Linked DNA regions of Pelodiscus sinensis. The protein of the gene in region 1 interacts with the protein of each later gene in a biochemical or structural test. Links are inferred from orthologs where the notes say so. Each region holds a gene or a part of one and is shown on either strand. Other genes may lie near its edges.

What was found.
Region 2: the proteins of ANXA1 (region 1) and protein S100-A11-like form a complex in vitro, tested with the Homo sapiens proteins (2 studies listed by BioGRID). The link is inferred for Pelodiscus sinensis from reciprocal best matches to the Homo sapiens genes ANXA1 and S100A11.

Annotation. Positions count from the first base shown.
Region 1 is NC_134716.1:34,503,148-34,510,111, reverse strand, and holds the start of ANXA1 (annexin A1), read right to left. Parts: upstream 3,017-6,964; 5' UTR 2,878-3,016; intron 2,809-2,877; exon of another isoform or gene 2,577-2,808; intron 1-2,576. UniProt on the Homo sapiens protein: Plays important roles in the innate immune response as effector of glucocorticoid-mediated responses and regulator of the inflammatory process. Has anti-inflammatory activity.
Region 2 is NC_134734.1:25,012,746-25,020,367, reverse strand, and holds the start of protein S100-A11-like, read right to left. Parts: upstream 3,013-7,622; 5' UTR 2,878-3,012; coding exon 2,875-2,877; intron 297-2,874; coding exon 141-296; intron 1-140. UniProt on the Homo sapiens protein: Facilitates the differentiation and the cornification of keratinocytes.

The DNA of each region.
Region 1 (6,964 bases):
TTTTCCAGAAATGTTTGTGCGCAAGAGGGCCAGTGTAGACAGCTAAAAGCTGTTTTGCGCAAAAAAGCCCCGATGGTGAAAATGGCAATCGGGGCTTTCGTGTGCAAAACCGCGTCTAGATTGGCAAGGATGCTTTTCCACCAAAAGTGCTTTTGCGGAAAAGCGTCCGTGCCAATCTAGACGTTCTTTTACGCAAATGCTTTTAACGGAAAAACTTTTCCGTTAAAAGCATTTGCGGAAAATCATGCCAGTCTAGAGGTAGCCTAGGAGTCTTGGGTGATGGAACAAGCAAAAGGCTACTCTACAGTTGGTGAAAGCAACACACACACACACACACACACACACACACACACACACACACACACTTTTGGTTCAGTGAAAAAAACATAGGCCTATTTCAATGTCCAAATACCTGATTGGATACTCTCAAAGGAAACTTAGTTTTCAGCCATAAAGACCCTGTGTGGTTGAAAGACATTGGTCCCAGGCCTCAGTTCTACCTGAAGATTTTTAAATTTATGCAACCCTCACCCTAGTTGAGAAGCAATAGAGCAATCGTAATGTTGATATTAAGGACTAATACCACTAATAAATAGAGAGGCTGCCATGGCTCTTATGCCACCCCCCATCCTTGCTGCTCAAATATGGGGGTGTGGGTAGTAAAGGGTTGTAGCTGGTGGGTCCCAGATGCTGTCTCAGCTTCTCAGATGACTGCCCTCTGCATTGCAAGCCCATGTTCAAGAAAGTGCAAAGGTAACTTAAACCCACTTTTGCAGTACCACTCTTGAGTTGCACGAGCAAGTTAAAAAACAACATTAACTACAGTTAGAAGTTTTTGAGCTGAATCCTCCTTCCAATTTCCTGACACACTGCTTCTTGAGAGGCACGTAGGGCCTGGAATCTCATACTGTAGTGAACATAATGTTGGGGGTGATGGCAGCTATGCTAACCACTCCCCTCTTCACAACAATCATATACACACCTACACAGGTTTTGAGGTTATGATGCAGGTGAAGAGGAGCCAAGTAGAGCATAGCTGTGCTCTGTAAACTCCTAGGCTGCTCTAATTTACATTCAGACTGAGTTGACACGTCATGAGTTTCAGGTAGCTGTAAGTCATTCTTTATGGTCCCTCCCTCCTTTGTTAAGCAGCTCTTGGTGCAAGGAAAAGTCTTGTTTCTCATTTCCCTTTTCCACACAGACATTTTGGCAAACAAATCCATCCATTTTATTCGAATAACCTATTATTGGAGTTTTTAAAGACAATTCTACAAGGTAAACAACACTCTGGCTGGGTTAAATATCTTACTCTGATTGCTCTTTGGTTTGTTCTGTTGATTCAGAGAGTTAAGAAATAAGTAATCCTACCTGATGAAATTTCTTATCAGCCAAGTTTAAACAAAGTATGTTGACTGGAGCAACATGATAGTTTACTATCACAGATAATAAAAGACTGTAGGAGTGCAGGAAGATACCTCCGGGGTCTAGGAGGGTGCCCTTGAGAGTGAGAAGCAAAGTTTAGTATTAGGAGAGGTGGGTAAGAGAGGAAAAGCAGAAAGAGGATTTCAATTTGCTATGAAGAGAAATAGGAAAGCTGGCTGGGCTCCTGCCAGGATTACTAAAAGGTGGCACCTAAACTTCCCTCCACTCCAAAGCTCAGGCTTGGGCACTACTGTATATAGAAATGACCAAGGGAGAAAAAGTGGCCTAGCTGCAAATACCATAGCAGAAGAGAGACAGTTCTTCCTGCTTCTAATAAATCCTTGAAAAGTTAGTTGGCTGAGTATCGGAAGTATGGGTAGAATGTATCCCACTATTCAAAACTAGTAATATTAAACAGCAGATATATACTTTTATATTTTTGTCTTTGAAAGGAAAGCAAGAAATTTAACTTGATCTTACATTATTTTTTAAACTCCATTGACTTTAGTGGGATTAATCGTGATGTATGCCATTCTGAAATTGGAATCAAGCCAAACCTTTGCATACCACATTTCATATTGGGGTTTGCCTCACCAGGAAATGCTAGTATGAGGGATGGTGTGGACACATTAAGAGGGCCTTGAAAGAAAGTCTAATAACACTGTTAAACCCCATTAGCAAAACGTTTTCATAGTGTAGACACCAGAGGTTTTTAGATGGGCCTTCTGTCTATGCCTCTTGTACATTCTTGCTAACACCCAGGAAATATTTCTTCACTTGGATGGATACAAAAAAAAAAAAAACTTGAAAAACCTGTCCTCAGGGACACACAAAGAATGGCAGCACTGAGAGAAACAGCCTCACCCTTGGGTAAAAAATTAATGGAAAGTCTGAGCTGACCGAGAACCAAATTCTGGAGCCCTTACTCATACGCAGTTTCTCTTACATCAGTGTTTAATTAAAAAACGGATTTTTTTCAGAGCCACCTCATTAAAAATACTGGGAGTTTTTTTCCCTGGCTTACATTTACAGCTGAAGTCTGTGAAGCAATGAATACTGTTTTTAAGCAATTATTGTCAAAGTAAAAGCAGCTTTCACAAATCATTTCCATATAAGGTATGTTAGTTTCCTGTTACTCATAGTTTTGCTGTAAAAATAGCTTTCCAGAGCAGCCATTAAAAAACAGAAACTAGCTAATTCCAAGTAAATTAGCTCTCCAATCCTTAGTATTTCCTCAAGATTTCTTGTGCACTTCAAGCAAAGAAGAACAGGGACAGTTCCAACCCCAGAATGTAAATGCAATAATTTAAAAAGGAAGAGATGACCACACCCATCTCTGCCTGTGCCAATCAACACAATCAACAGACAGCTGCACAAAATCACTTGGTAAGTAGTGCATATTTATTAAAGTTTGCTAAATCAACAGAGACCCACAAAGAACAAAAAAGTGCATACCTTTTGTTTCACACAGCTCAGAAAGTGTTACTTCTCTGGAAGCTGCAGCCTGGAACAGGAAAGCCTAAGGCTGGTGATTTTTATAAAGCCGTTGGGTGACCACACCTAGCAACCACAGAATATTTCTACAACTCAAGTGATTGGCTCATATTTGCCTGAGGACTAAATGTGGGTTCTATCCAAAAGCACAGGCACACACACACACACACACAAATGCCTTGCAAAATTATTCACTGGAGTTAACTAAGGGCAGATTTCAGTGTGAAAGAAAGAAAGAAATGTTTTCGGACTTTTTTTTAAACCTATCTGGACTTACATCCTCTGCTGATGTAAATTGGCATAGGTTTGTTCAAGTGAATACATTTTAAAGCAGTGTGAGATAAATAAAGCTCAATGCTGAATAAAATCTTAGCCCTTTCATTTTTTGACTCATCTCATTGTACATTTAAAAAAAAATCAAGACAGAAAGCAGCAGCACTTTAGTGCTGCAGGGAGGCCGAGACCAGAAAAGAACACCCTATGTCTTCAGTGCAAATTGGTGGTCAATGACCTTGCTCTCACTGGGGTTGATCTTGGAGCAGAAATCGGCCAATACCCATGGATAATTTTTTTTTTTCATCTCACACAAGATTGGGCAAAGAAAAGGAGACGGGCCATGATCATTGCAGAGAACCAAGATGTGAAAATAGGCAGGTTTAATAGATGTGCCACTTAAATATACAAGTGGGCCTGCCCTGCAACATTCAGATTTAGCTTTCAGTCCTGAAGGAATTCTGCAATTGTTAAATCTGGAATTCCCCTAGAACTGAGATTTGCAATTCAAATGGTGAGAGATTTGATTCCAGACAGAGGAACCACTGCCTATTTTGCTGACCAGTAGTACCTCATCATGTTATTCTCCCCCTGTCTATCTGTACCCTCTTGTTTTATGTTTACTTATAAGCACTTTGGAGGCAGGAACTGGTTTTTTTTCCTATGCTTGCATAGGGAGTCTTAGTCCATGATGTACAGTACTGACACTCTACTGCAATACAAATACATTAAACAAATATAATGCTATTGAAGTTCATATACAAGTTTGGATTTTTACTTCAAATTCCTCTCACAGACTTGCTACAGTTTGCGAGCTTTCAGATTTATGTGTGTTCTGTTTTGGGGTCCATCTTTAGTAAGGGATTTTTTCCCAAGAAAGCCCAGAAATTCAAAGTTTTTATAAGGTGCTAGCAAAATATTATATAATAGCAAGTCACTCAAGAAAGACCTAAGACATATACTTTGTGCAATGCAAGAATACATACAGTGTGATTCAGTTTGAAATGTTCCTTAAAGACATATATGATGAAGTGTGACATGCAATCAAATCTACAATTTGCATATCAGAAGATATGCCTCACATCTCAAATGAGGCAAACAGGTCAGGTATCTGAGACATGCTGCAATTAAATTTACATTTAAAGCCAGCTAGAAAAGCTAATATGGAAAGTGCAGATGAGCCCTCTTCTTTCTTTCTGCCTTCCATCCAAATTGGAGGCATTAAACATCAGAGGAGAAAAGTTAATAAACAATTAATAAAATGAGGTTGTGTTCTCATTTCAATCTGGGATCTGCACCCATAATACCTTGTGCATATGAGATGTAAGAATACAGGCTGTTGGTGAGAATGAAGGGCAGTTTTCTTCTGACTGAGATAGGGATGTTAGATATCAATTAGTTGAATAATTGTGTAACCACATCAAAACTTTAGCAGTTACACAATTATTCAGTAGTCCCCAGTCATGGGGCCGACAGCCAGTGCACTCCCAGCCTCATTCCCGGGGAGCCCCCTACCACTCCACTCTGCTGCCTCTATACAGAGGAAACAAGGGGAGGGAAGAGAATGCTTTAAGCCCAAGCTTATCAATTAATGGTGTAGTCAACTACAGGTTGACATCCCTAGAATGAGATCTATTGAGGCATCATTTGCTTTGGTACTAGAGGAAGCAAGAAAGATCAGAATAGGGTTGGTGAAGGAATGGAACAAAGATTATTCTGAATAAGTCAACAGGGATAAATCTGCTAAAACAAAAGTTTATACTGTGATGTAGGGCAAAGGCATCTAAGATTCATAGTCATTGAAAATACGATAGATCTTTCTTTTGCCAGTGAATGACTAACCCATTTTGACTTTCCGAAGTTCTGTTCTTCATATTTTTAAATGTCTCAAGACACAAAGCAGCATGAGTGTTTTGTAGCAAACATCTTTCCTAACCTAAAATTCACTGACTGGTTCAGTCAGTTTTTCCACTCCCCTATTTCATCATGTTACTGTAAAGCCAGGAGAGCAAGATTTCAGAACTAGTGAAAAAGTGTTTTTCAGTCTCAAAAGAAGGAAAGAAACTGTGATCACCCATAGAGGAATCACACACACTATGGGTCACTCGAGGTACAAAAATGAGATGGAATCCCAACTCTCTGGTTTCAGCATGGGTCTCTCAAGTTATCATGCAGCTTATGAGACACCCTCTACTTATTACAGCAATGGAGGCAGACACATTTCCACTTGGAAATTTTTTGCCACTATCTCTGAGGCTTCCAATATCCTGAGCTATTTATGTCAGTATTATAACTATAGACAAAACTCTAAAAACAATGAGTAGTACCTTAGGATACATCAGCTATTTTGGAAATACTCCAAAATAGCTCATTTCAAAATAGCGCGTCTACACTACAGGGAAACCTCAAAATTAATCCAAGGCAGGCTTCCCTAATGTGGACTTACTACCTTGATTTAAACCCTCAGGAGGCAGTAGGAAGTAATTACTTTGAATGTCTCTGGGAAGGAGCTATTTCAAAATAGCAGCAGTGGAGCATCCACACTACAGCTATTCCAAAATAGCTCTCTCAAAATAGGCATTATTCCTCATGAAATGGGGTTTACAGAAATCGGAATAAGCCATCTGTTATTTCAAAATAACGGAATTGCTGTGTAGACGCTTGCACTGTTATTTTGAAAGTGTCAGTTATTTTGTAATAACTGTGCTTGTTTAGATGCCCCCTTTAGAGACTAACAAAAACGTATAGAAACACGAGCTTTCATGGGTAAAGCCCACTTCATCAGATGAATTGGAGTAAATGTAAATGGCAGTAGGACCCAGCAGTCTCAGTCATGATTGGAGACCCCCTTAGGATAGCTGCAGTAGAGTCTCTCCCCAAAAGAGCTCAAACAAACATTGTACCAGTAGCTACTCGTTGGTATCAGAATACAAAAATGGCCCATCCTTAGAAGTAAATTCTGCTAATCCTTTATGGCAGGACCCATAGGTGGAGATGTCAGTGAATCTCTTCCCAGTATATACACCAACTTTCAGCAGCAGCAGCATACACTACAGGGAACAGAACAGCTCATTTCTGAAGCAGAAATAAAAGAAGTCTGCTGCTGAACACTCTTGAGCTTTTGTGAACCATTCTGCTTTCATCTGCACTCTGGAGGCACAAAGGCTTGAGGAAATTTCACTCTTCCCCTATAGCTCTGCTTCCAGGAGTCCCATATCTGAGGGAGGGGGAAGGGGAATTGAATCCACAGTATCATAATCACTTAGCACCAGCTTAAATGCCAATGTGTGTAGTAATTTTGTATGTTATGTATTTTGTATATGACATTGTCATCAGTGATTGTAGTGTGTGTATTCTAGAAGGATAACGATTACAAGAGAGGGAAAACATTTGTGTTTTTCCTCTATAACTTGTACTATGACAGTAATGCCTCATGCTGTATATTGCTACTTATCAAACAATCCTAGAAAATGAGCCTTTGAACATGTAACAATATCTTCATTCTAGAAAAGAGTGAGGATAAAATCATCAAGTAATCTAAGTCAAATGACTGCATTTTTTTCATGGCTGTATTGATTGTACTGTACAGTACAGCTCTGTGCTAGTGACTCACTACTCCAATTTCAGGAAGACCATGAGTCAGAGAACTCCACCCACCAGGAGTAGGGGGGGAGTAGGGGAAGCATAACTCCAAACAGCTACAGAGGGAGAAACCCAGAAAATGACAACTGTTTTGATTTCAGTACTTTCGGTACATAGAAACAAAAGGTGATAG
Region 2 (7,622 bases), on another chromosome or scaffold:
AGGACCTCCGAAAGCACTTCACCCCCCCCCCCCCCCGCACTCCCTCTGCTCCCTGCCCCGCTCCCAGCCAGCTACTCAGCAGAGCAGCCGTGTTGGCAGAAGCTGCAGTCCCCCCGCGGGCTGGGCGTCCCCAGGCTCACCTTTGTGAAGGAAGCCAGTTCGGCGTTCATGAAGGTGAGGAACTCCCGCTTGGACAGCGTGCAGCTGTCGCCTTCGCGCCCGGCGTAGCGCTGGAACACGGCCAGCAGGGACTCGATACAGCGCTCCGTTTCCGTCGGGGACATGGGGACCTTCGCCTGCAGGGGTGGAAGCACCGTGCGGCTGAGCCCGCTCCTCCCCCAGCGCCAAACCCGGGGGCCACCAGCTCCCCTGAGCCCGCTCCTCCCCCAGCGCCAAACCCGGGGGCCACCAGCTCCCCTGAGCCCGCTCCTCCCCCAGCGCCAAACCCGGGGGCCACCAGCTCCCCTGAGCCCGCTCCTCCCCCAGCGCCAAACCCGGGGGTCACCAGCTCCCCTGAGCCCGCCTGGCCGGTGTCGCCTGTTTTCCATCCATGGGCCCAGTACGTTTTGTTACATGCACTGAGGCACGCGCACCAGCCGGGGAAACCCATGCTGCCTGCGGGGGGTGCTCTGCCAATCAGCCCTCCCGGTGGCTGCCCAAGCGCCCAGCTTACAGGGAACACTGCTCCCAGCTCCAGCTGAGCCTTTCACCTGAGCACTGAAAGGAAGGGAGAGGCTGCCGGGTAAGTCAGGGACAGCACCAGGCTGCCGGATAAGTCAGGGACAGCACCAGGCTGCCTGGGCTCTGATCCCGCTTCTGGACGCAGGGCCTAGTGGTTGCAGCAGGCCCCGGGGGGTCCAGACTCCTGGCTGCTTTCCTGAGCTTCGGCAGGGGAGCTGGGTGGAGCAGGGAGACGGGAGCGGCTGCTGGACGAGTCTATTCCTGGGCCCGGCGGGCGGGGCCTGACCGCAAGGTGCCGTTGCTCAGGCGCTCCTACGCCAGCCCCATGCAGCTTTCTGGTTTCCCCAGGCCTGGTGCAATCCCTCCTCTGCACCCGCTCCCACGCTCTTCCTGCCCCCCCCCCCCCCCGGGCGCTGCGAGCCAGACCACAGCGAAGCCGCAGCTGCCAGCCCAGTGAGCGCAGTGGCGGAAAGAGGCCAGGGCAAGGAGAGGTGACGCGAGGGTGGCAGAGGCTCAGCAACGGGCCATGGGGCCTGGCAGGGCAGGGGGTGCGTCTGCACTGAGGTTGTGAAAGAGACTCCGGAACAAAGGTGCCTGGCTTTTCCACCCTCCTCATTAATATGAATTGGTTTTGGCTGCCAATCACAGGCAGGGGCGGGAAAGAAAAACACCCTCCTCTCCCCCCCACCCCCCATTTGTTGGGAGAAATTCGGAGTGAAGAGAAATGGGACTGGGGTGGGGCTGCTCCAAGCCACGTGGCCAGGGGCTAGCTGTGTCAGGACAGCCACAGGGTGAAATGCAGGCCTGCTGGCCCCAAGGGGGTGAGGCCTTTCCCCGGGGGGCACCGCTTCCTCCCTCGGCCCAGGGCGGAGAAAGGCCGCCTGGTTCTGGGGAGCAGCGAATGGCCTACGTAGCTTTTCCTCTACGAGATGCTGGTTCTACTGGGATACGGGGCCTTGCCTCTGGAGGGGGTGCTGGGCCGGGCGGCTGAGGAGCGCATGGGGAATGGGATAGAGGGGGTTCACCGGCAGGGGGTGCCAATCCAGCCCCAGGGCAGGGGGCCTAGCTAGCTCAGGGCACCAGAAAATAGCAGCCAGAGGCTCTTCCCTCTAAGCCACCAGTTCCAGTCAGACTCTGGTGATGGTGGCAGCGGTGGGTACACAGGACTGGGGCAGGGGAAAGGGAGACCAGGCTTGACCGGCCTGGGCAACGTGCACCCCTCGAGGTCCTGGCTAGGCCCCCCGGAGCAGGGCTGGCTGGCACACGTCCAAGGAGGCGGGAAGGCAGAGCAGCGCCCAGGCCCCCACCCGGGGCTCTGCTTGTGAGCAGGGGGGAGAGCCCCCTCCAGCCTCCTTCCCCCGAGCCAGGGCGGAGTGATGGGGGGACGCGCCAAAGGGCAGCTGGGCCTGAATGACTCAGTGCCAGGCAAGCTCTGAGCAGTGACTGAGCTGTGGGAGGAAGGGGGGGGGGGGCTCTGCCCCTCTCTGGCCTGGAGTCTCTGCCCCCCCCGGGACTCTTTAGCCCCCCCCCCCCCCCAGCAGCTGAATTTAGCCTTTTTTGGTGGTATGAGACAGGAAACCAGCCCCCCCCCCCCAGCCTGGCCCAGCTCCCCCGCCCCTCAGTGCCTGGCAGCCCAGGGTGCAAACCCGCAGCTGGGGCCTCCTGGGGTGGGGGGCGCCTCTGCCCAGGACGGGGGGGGGGGGGGGCTGAGTCCTGAATGGAGGGTGGGGTCTGGCCCCTGGGAAACCACCCTGCGCTGGGGCTGGGGGGGGGGGGGAGCGGAGCCGCCCTGCTGGGGCTGGGGGGGGGAGCGGACACACCCTGCGCTGGCGGTGGTGGGGGGGGGGGAGCGGACACACCCTGCGCTGGGGGGGGGGGGTCACAGCCTGGCCAGGGACCAACAACTCCTGCCCCGAGCAGCCTGGGGCCCTGCTGCAGCCTGTGACCGGCCCCGCCCTGGGGTGCTGGTACCGGGGGGGGGGGGGGGCTGCACCCTGGTTTGAGGCGGTTTCCATCGTACCCGGGGTTTGCAGTTTGGGTCGGCAGCTCTCAGCCCCCCCCCCCCCCCCCCCCCGACAGCTCCTGGGCAACTGCCAAGCCAAGCTCCGGGGGGGGGGGCTCCTGCCTCCCCCCGCCCTTCCCAGGGAGAGTTTATCGCCCCCCGGGAAAGGGGGGAGGGCCCCCCCCACTCACCATGGCTGCAGGGAGGGAGCGGACCGTGCGCGGCTCAGACTTCGGGGCGCTCTGAGCCCCGCCCGGCCCCGCCACCGCCCTTGGCTGCCTGGCCCGGCCCCTTCCCCGGCTGGGCGGAGGCTCGGAGCGGATCCGGACTCGCCGGCCTGCGAGCCCCACCCAGGAATGTGCCCCCGGCTGCCCCCCCCCCAGCGCCCCGCGCTGGCTGGGACCCCCCCCCAGAGCCCCGCGCTGGCTGGGACCCCCCCAGAGCCCCGTGTTGGCTGGGACCCCCCCCCCAGCGCCCCGCGTTGGCTGGGACCCCTCCCCCACAGCCCCGCGTTGGCTGGGACCCCTCCCCCACAGCCCCGCGTTGGCTGGGACCCCCCCCGAGCCCCGCGCTGGCTGGGACCCCCCCTCGAGCCCCGCGTTGGCTGGGACCCCCCCCGAGCCCCGCGCTGGCTGGGACCCCCCCAAAACCCCCACCGGCTGAGAGCGCCCCGCGCTGGCTGGGACCCCCCCCCAAGCCCCACATTGGCTGCGCCCCCCCCGTTTCTTTTCCTCCTTTTCTTTTAGCTTCTCTCCCCCCCTGCCCCCCCCTTCCCCTCTTGTCTCTGCTCCAAGTTCCGCTTCCCCGGCCGAGGCGGGGGGGGGGGGGGGGGTGCTAAGCTGCTGCCCGGGAATGTGCCTCTGTTTCCCCACCTGGCACCGTAACCAGCCCGCAGACGCTGGCCCCTCGGCTCCTACGCCCAGGGCACGCGAAGGCTGAGCCAGGCCAGGGCCAGTAACCGCGTACTGGACACGAGGCTCCGTGGCACTGGCCGAGCAGCACTGGGCAGAGGCGGCCGCAGGGGAGTCGGGTTGGACATCAGGGCAAGCGTCCTGCCTGGGGGGGGAACCTGGAGTAAGTTGCCGAGGGGAGGGGGGTTTGGAATCTCCATCATCTTCGTCTTCGGGATCGTTTCGAAGTGCCCCGTCCCGAAGATCACAGCCAGGGCTGCCACAGCGGGGAGGCAGCTTCCTCGTGTCCGGACCTATAGCAAGGTGAGGTTTGGGTGGGCCAGGATCTTGGGACGGCCCCCTTGGCCGCAGGCCATGCACCTCCCTGCCACCGAGCAGCCTGCATGGCCTGGGGAGAAGCCAGTGGGCGGGAAGCACTGGATCAGCCCCCAGGAGAAGCCGGAACCCCCCCCCCCCCGCCCTTAGCCCCCCTCCAAGTCTCTACCCCCTCCAAGTCCCCCTTCTCCTGATCTGCCCCAACGCCTGCATCCCACCTCATGCCCTGAGCCCCTCCTCACCCACTGCTCCTCCCACTCCACCTCCCCACATCTCCAGCCCTCTGCCCTGAGCCCCAACCCTGACTCCTGCACCCCCCCCCCAGCCCCCTGCCCTGAAGGACCTGAGCACGCCGGGTAAGACTCCCAGTTGGAGATACTTCAGAGCGGGCGGGACACATGCCTGCCAGGGCCTAGACCAGGCTATTTAACACGCGGCCATGGGTGGCCTGCGGCTCGTTGGTTTGCGGCCGCGGGGCGGTTTGGGTTCACGCAGGCTCAACACGTGGCCCGCGGGAGGGATCCTTTGAACACGGCGCCCACTGGGAACACGCTGCACAGCGGTGAGTCCATAGAACGGGCTTCTGCCGAGATGAGCCTTAGTAGTTAAATTCCTGGCCTGCCATTGCCCATGCAGAGTGCAGTCACGCGGGTGGAAATGGGGTCAATGTGGCAGTGTGTTAGTGTCAGCAGAGCTGCCTTACACGGGGCCTGCGTGTTGTGTAGTCTTGCCTTCAGCTTTGTATTCTGCCCGTCAGTGTGAAAGAAGCTGTTTGCATATATTTGCATAGATATTTGCATGTAAATGCCACCACATGTAAGTTGCGGCCCTCGGCATGTGCTGTGAGCGTCCGAAGTTGAGTTGCCCTGATGTAGCCGGTGCTGGGTCCTGCCGAGAGGGCCGGGACTGGACTGGACGACCTCGCGAGGGCCCTTCCAGTCCTAGGGGTCTATGAATCACAGTGGGAGTTGGGACCCTAAATACTGGGGTGAGTTGGAGCCTCGGGGCGTCAGGGCATCAGCAGGGCTAGAATCCAGCCCCAGAAGCCCAGGCCTCTGCTCTTTTGGCAGCAGGAGACTCCCCATCAGCTGTGGGCAGTGTCAGGCCCCTGACACACAGGTGAGCAGTCGGGTTTCTGAGCTGCAGAAGACAGGAGCTGCCCGCACACCAGCTCATTTCGCAGCTGACCTGAGTCTCGGGAGGGGGCGGAGTCGGCAGTGTGTTTGAGGAGGCTTGTGGCTTTTCCCAGGGGACTGGGGAGGATCCACAGGACAGGCGGGACTGTTCCTCACAGCAGCTGTTCAAGTGCAGCGCGGGTGGCACGGGGTAACTGCCAGCAAGACGTGGTCTGAGGGGTAAGCGCCCCCAAGCCTCACCTGAGAGCAGGTCCCTGCAGTGCCGCCCAGGCTAAAGAGCCTTAGGGTGGGAGGGGAAACCGAGGCGCCGCACTGGAAGTGACTTGGCTGAAGGGCGCGCAGGCAGACAGTGGAAGATCTGGGATTACAGCGCTGCTGACCCGACTGTAATCCAGTATCGGAGCTGCTGCACCCCGGGGCTGCTGGTAGGTGCCGCTGAGCCGGGTCAGATAACAGTCCCTGAGGCCCCGTGTCCTGACCTCTGACCGTGGCCAAAGCCAGGTGCTTCAAACGGTGATTATCAAGTGACCCATCCCCTGGCAATCAGACGCCAGGGACCCCCGGAGCAGGGGCTGCATCCCTGACCATCTTGGCTAAGAGCTATTGATGGGCCCAGCCACCAATAACTAGCTCTGTTTGGAGCTGTTATACTTTTAGCCTTCACCGCGTCCCCTAGCAGGGAGTTCCACAGGTCGGCTGTGTGCTGCATGGAGAAGCATTTCCTGTTGGTTTGAACCTGGGGGGGGGGGGCAGAGCTGTCCCAGTGCCCATGCCGGGGGGCTTCATCTTCTCATTGCTCTGACTTGGGGTTGGGGGGTTGTACCTGCTTTGCAGGCAGCCTGTGCCCAGGCCAGCTTTCCTGGGCCTGGCGCTGTTGATTCCACGCGGCGTGTGGATTCCGCCCCGTGCAGAGAGCCAGCGCGAGGCCCAGCTGTGACGAACGGCCCTCGGAGCTGGGCCTGGGAGGGGCCTGCTCTCTGCCTAAGGGGAGTTGCAGCTGGAACGGGCTCCGCGTCACTTGAAATGGGTTTCCTGTGTCACTTGCACAAGGGGGTTTGCAACACCGCACCGTGGCTGTGGGGAGGAACGGCTCCAGCCGCTGCTTCCCAGTGTCACCTGCCTGAGGCGGCTCCGCAGCATCCTAGTGATCCCCTCCCCCCCGAGATGCATCAAACCGTGCCGGGCGGGTGGGGGGGAGATCAGGGAATGTTCCTGCTCTTGACTCACACGGTGGCCGCTCCGCTCCCTCGGCCGTAACGCCCCGGAACTCAGTGATGCGTAGGGGCGCCAGCCACGCGGTGACTAAAGAGTTAATCTCAGGCAGGTGGAGGTGTCGGCAGGGAGCCAGAGGAGCCCATGGAAACAGGTACATTGGAGAGAACCCTGCCGGCTGTTTTCGTTGGGTTCTTAGGCCCGGGACGGGGGGACCGATGAATTGAACAGGCAGAAGTCCCAGGCCCGCGGGGGATACGGGGTAGGGGGAGGCCTGGACCGCGCAGTGCGGCTCTGTGAGCAGACGGGAAAGTGTCGATTGAGCGGCGGGCAGGGTGGCGCCTTTATCACGTCTCTTGGCTTTGTCCATAAAAACCCCTCTCTGGGCGGCGCTGCCTTGGGCTCGTGTGCTGGGAAGTAGCAGGAGGCCTGCCCCGCGGCCTCACGGAGAGCTCAGCCGCCTTCCCTCTGCAGGCTCGCTTGTGCGGAAGGGACGGGGGGGGGGGACCTTGCAAAGGGAATTAAAACCAATAGCAAAAGGTTTTATAGCCATATAAATAGGAAAAAAACAAAAAAAGAAGTAGGACCATTAATTACTAAGGCTGGAGTGGAGGTTAAGGATAATCTAGGAATGGCCCAATAGCTAAACAAATACTTTGCTTCAGTCTTTAATGAGGCTAATGAAGAGCTTAGGGATAATGGTAAGTTAACAAATGGGACTGAGGATAAGGAGGTAGATATTACCATATCTGAGGTAAAAGCCAAACTTGAACAGCTTAATGAGAGTAAATCAGGGGGCCCAGATAATCTTCATCCAAGAATATTAAAGGAACTGGCACATGAAATTGCAAGTCCATTAGCAAATTTTTTTAATAAATCTCTAGACTCAGGGGTTGTACCATTTGACTGGAGAATTGCTAATATAGTTCCGATTTTTAAGAAAGGGAAAAAAAGCGACCCGGGTAACTATAGGCCTGTTAGTTTGACATCTGCAGTATGCAAGATCTTGGAAAAAATTTTGAAGGAGAAAGTAGTTAGAGACATGGAGGCTAATGGCGATTGGGACAAATTACAACATGGTTTTACAAAAGGTAGATTGTGCCAAACCAACCTGATCTCCTTTTTTGAGAAAGTAACAGATTTTTTAGATAAAGGAAATGCGGTGGATCTGATCTACCTTGACTTTAGTAAGGCATTTGATACAGAACCACATGGGGAATTATTGGTTAAATTGGAAAAGATAGGGATTAATATGAAAGTTGAGAGGTGGATAAGCAACTGGTTAAAGGGGAGACCACAGCGGGTCATACTGAAAGGTGAACTGTCAGGTTGGAGGAAGGTTACTAGCGGAGTTCCTCAGGGATC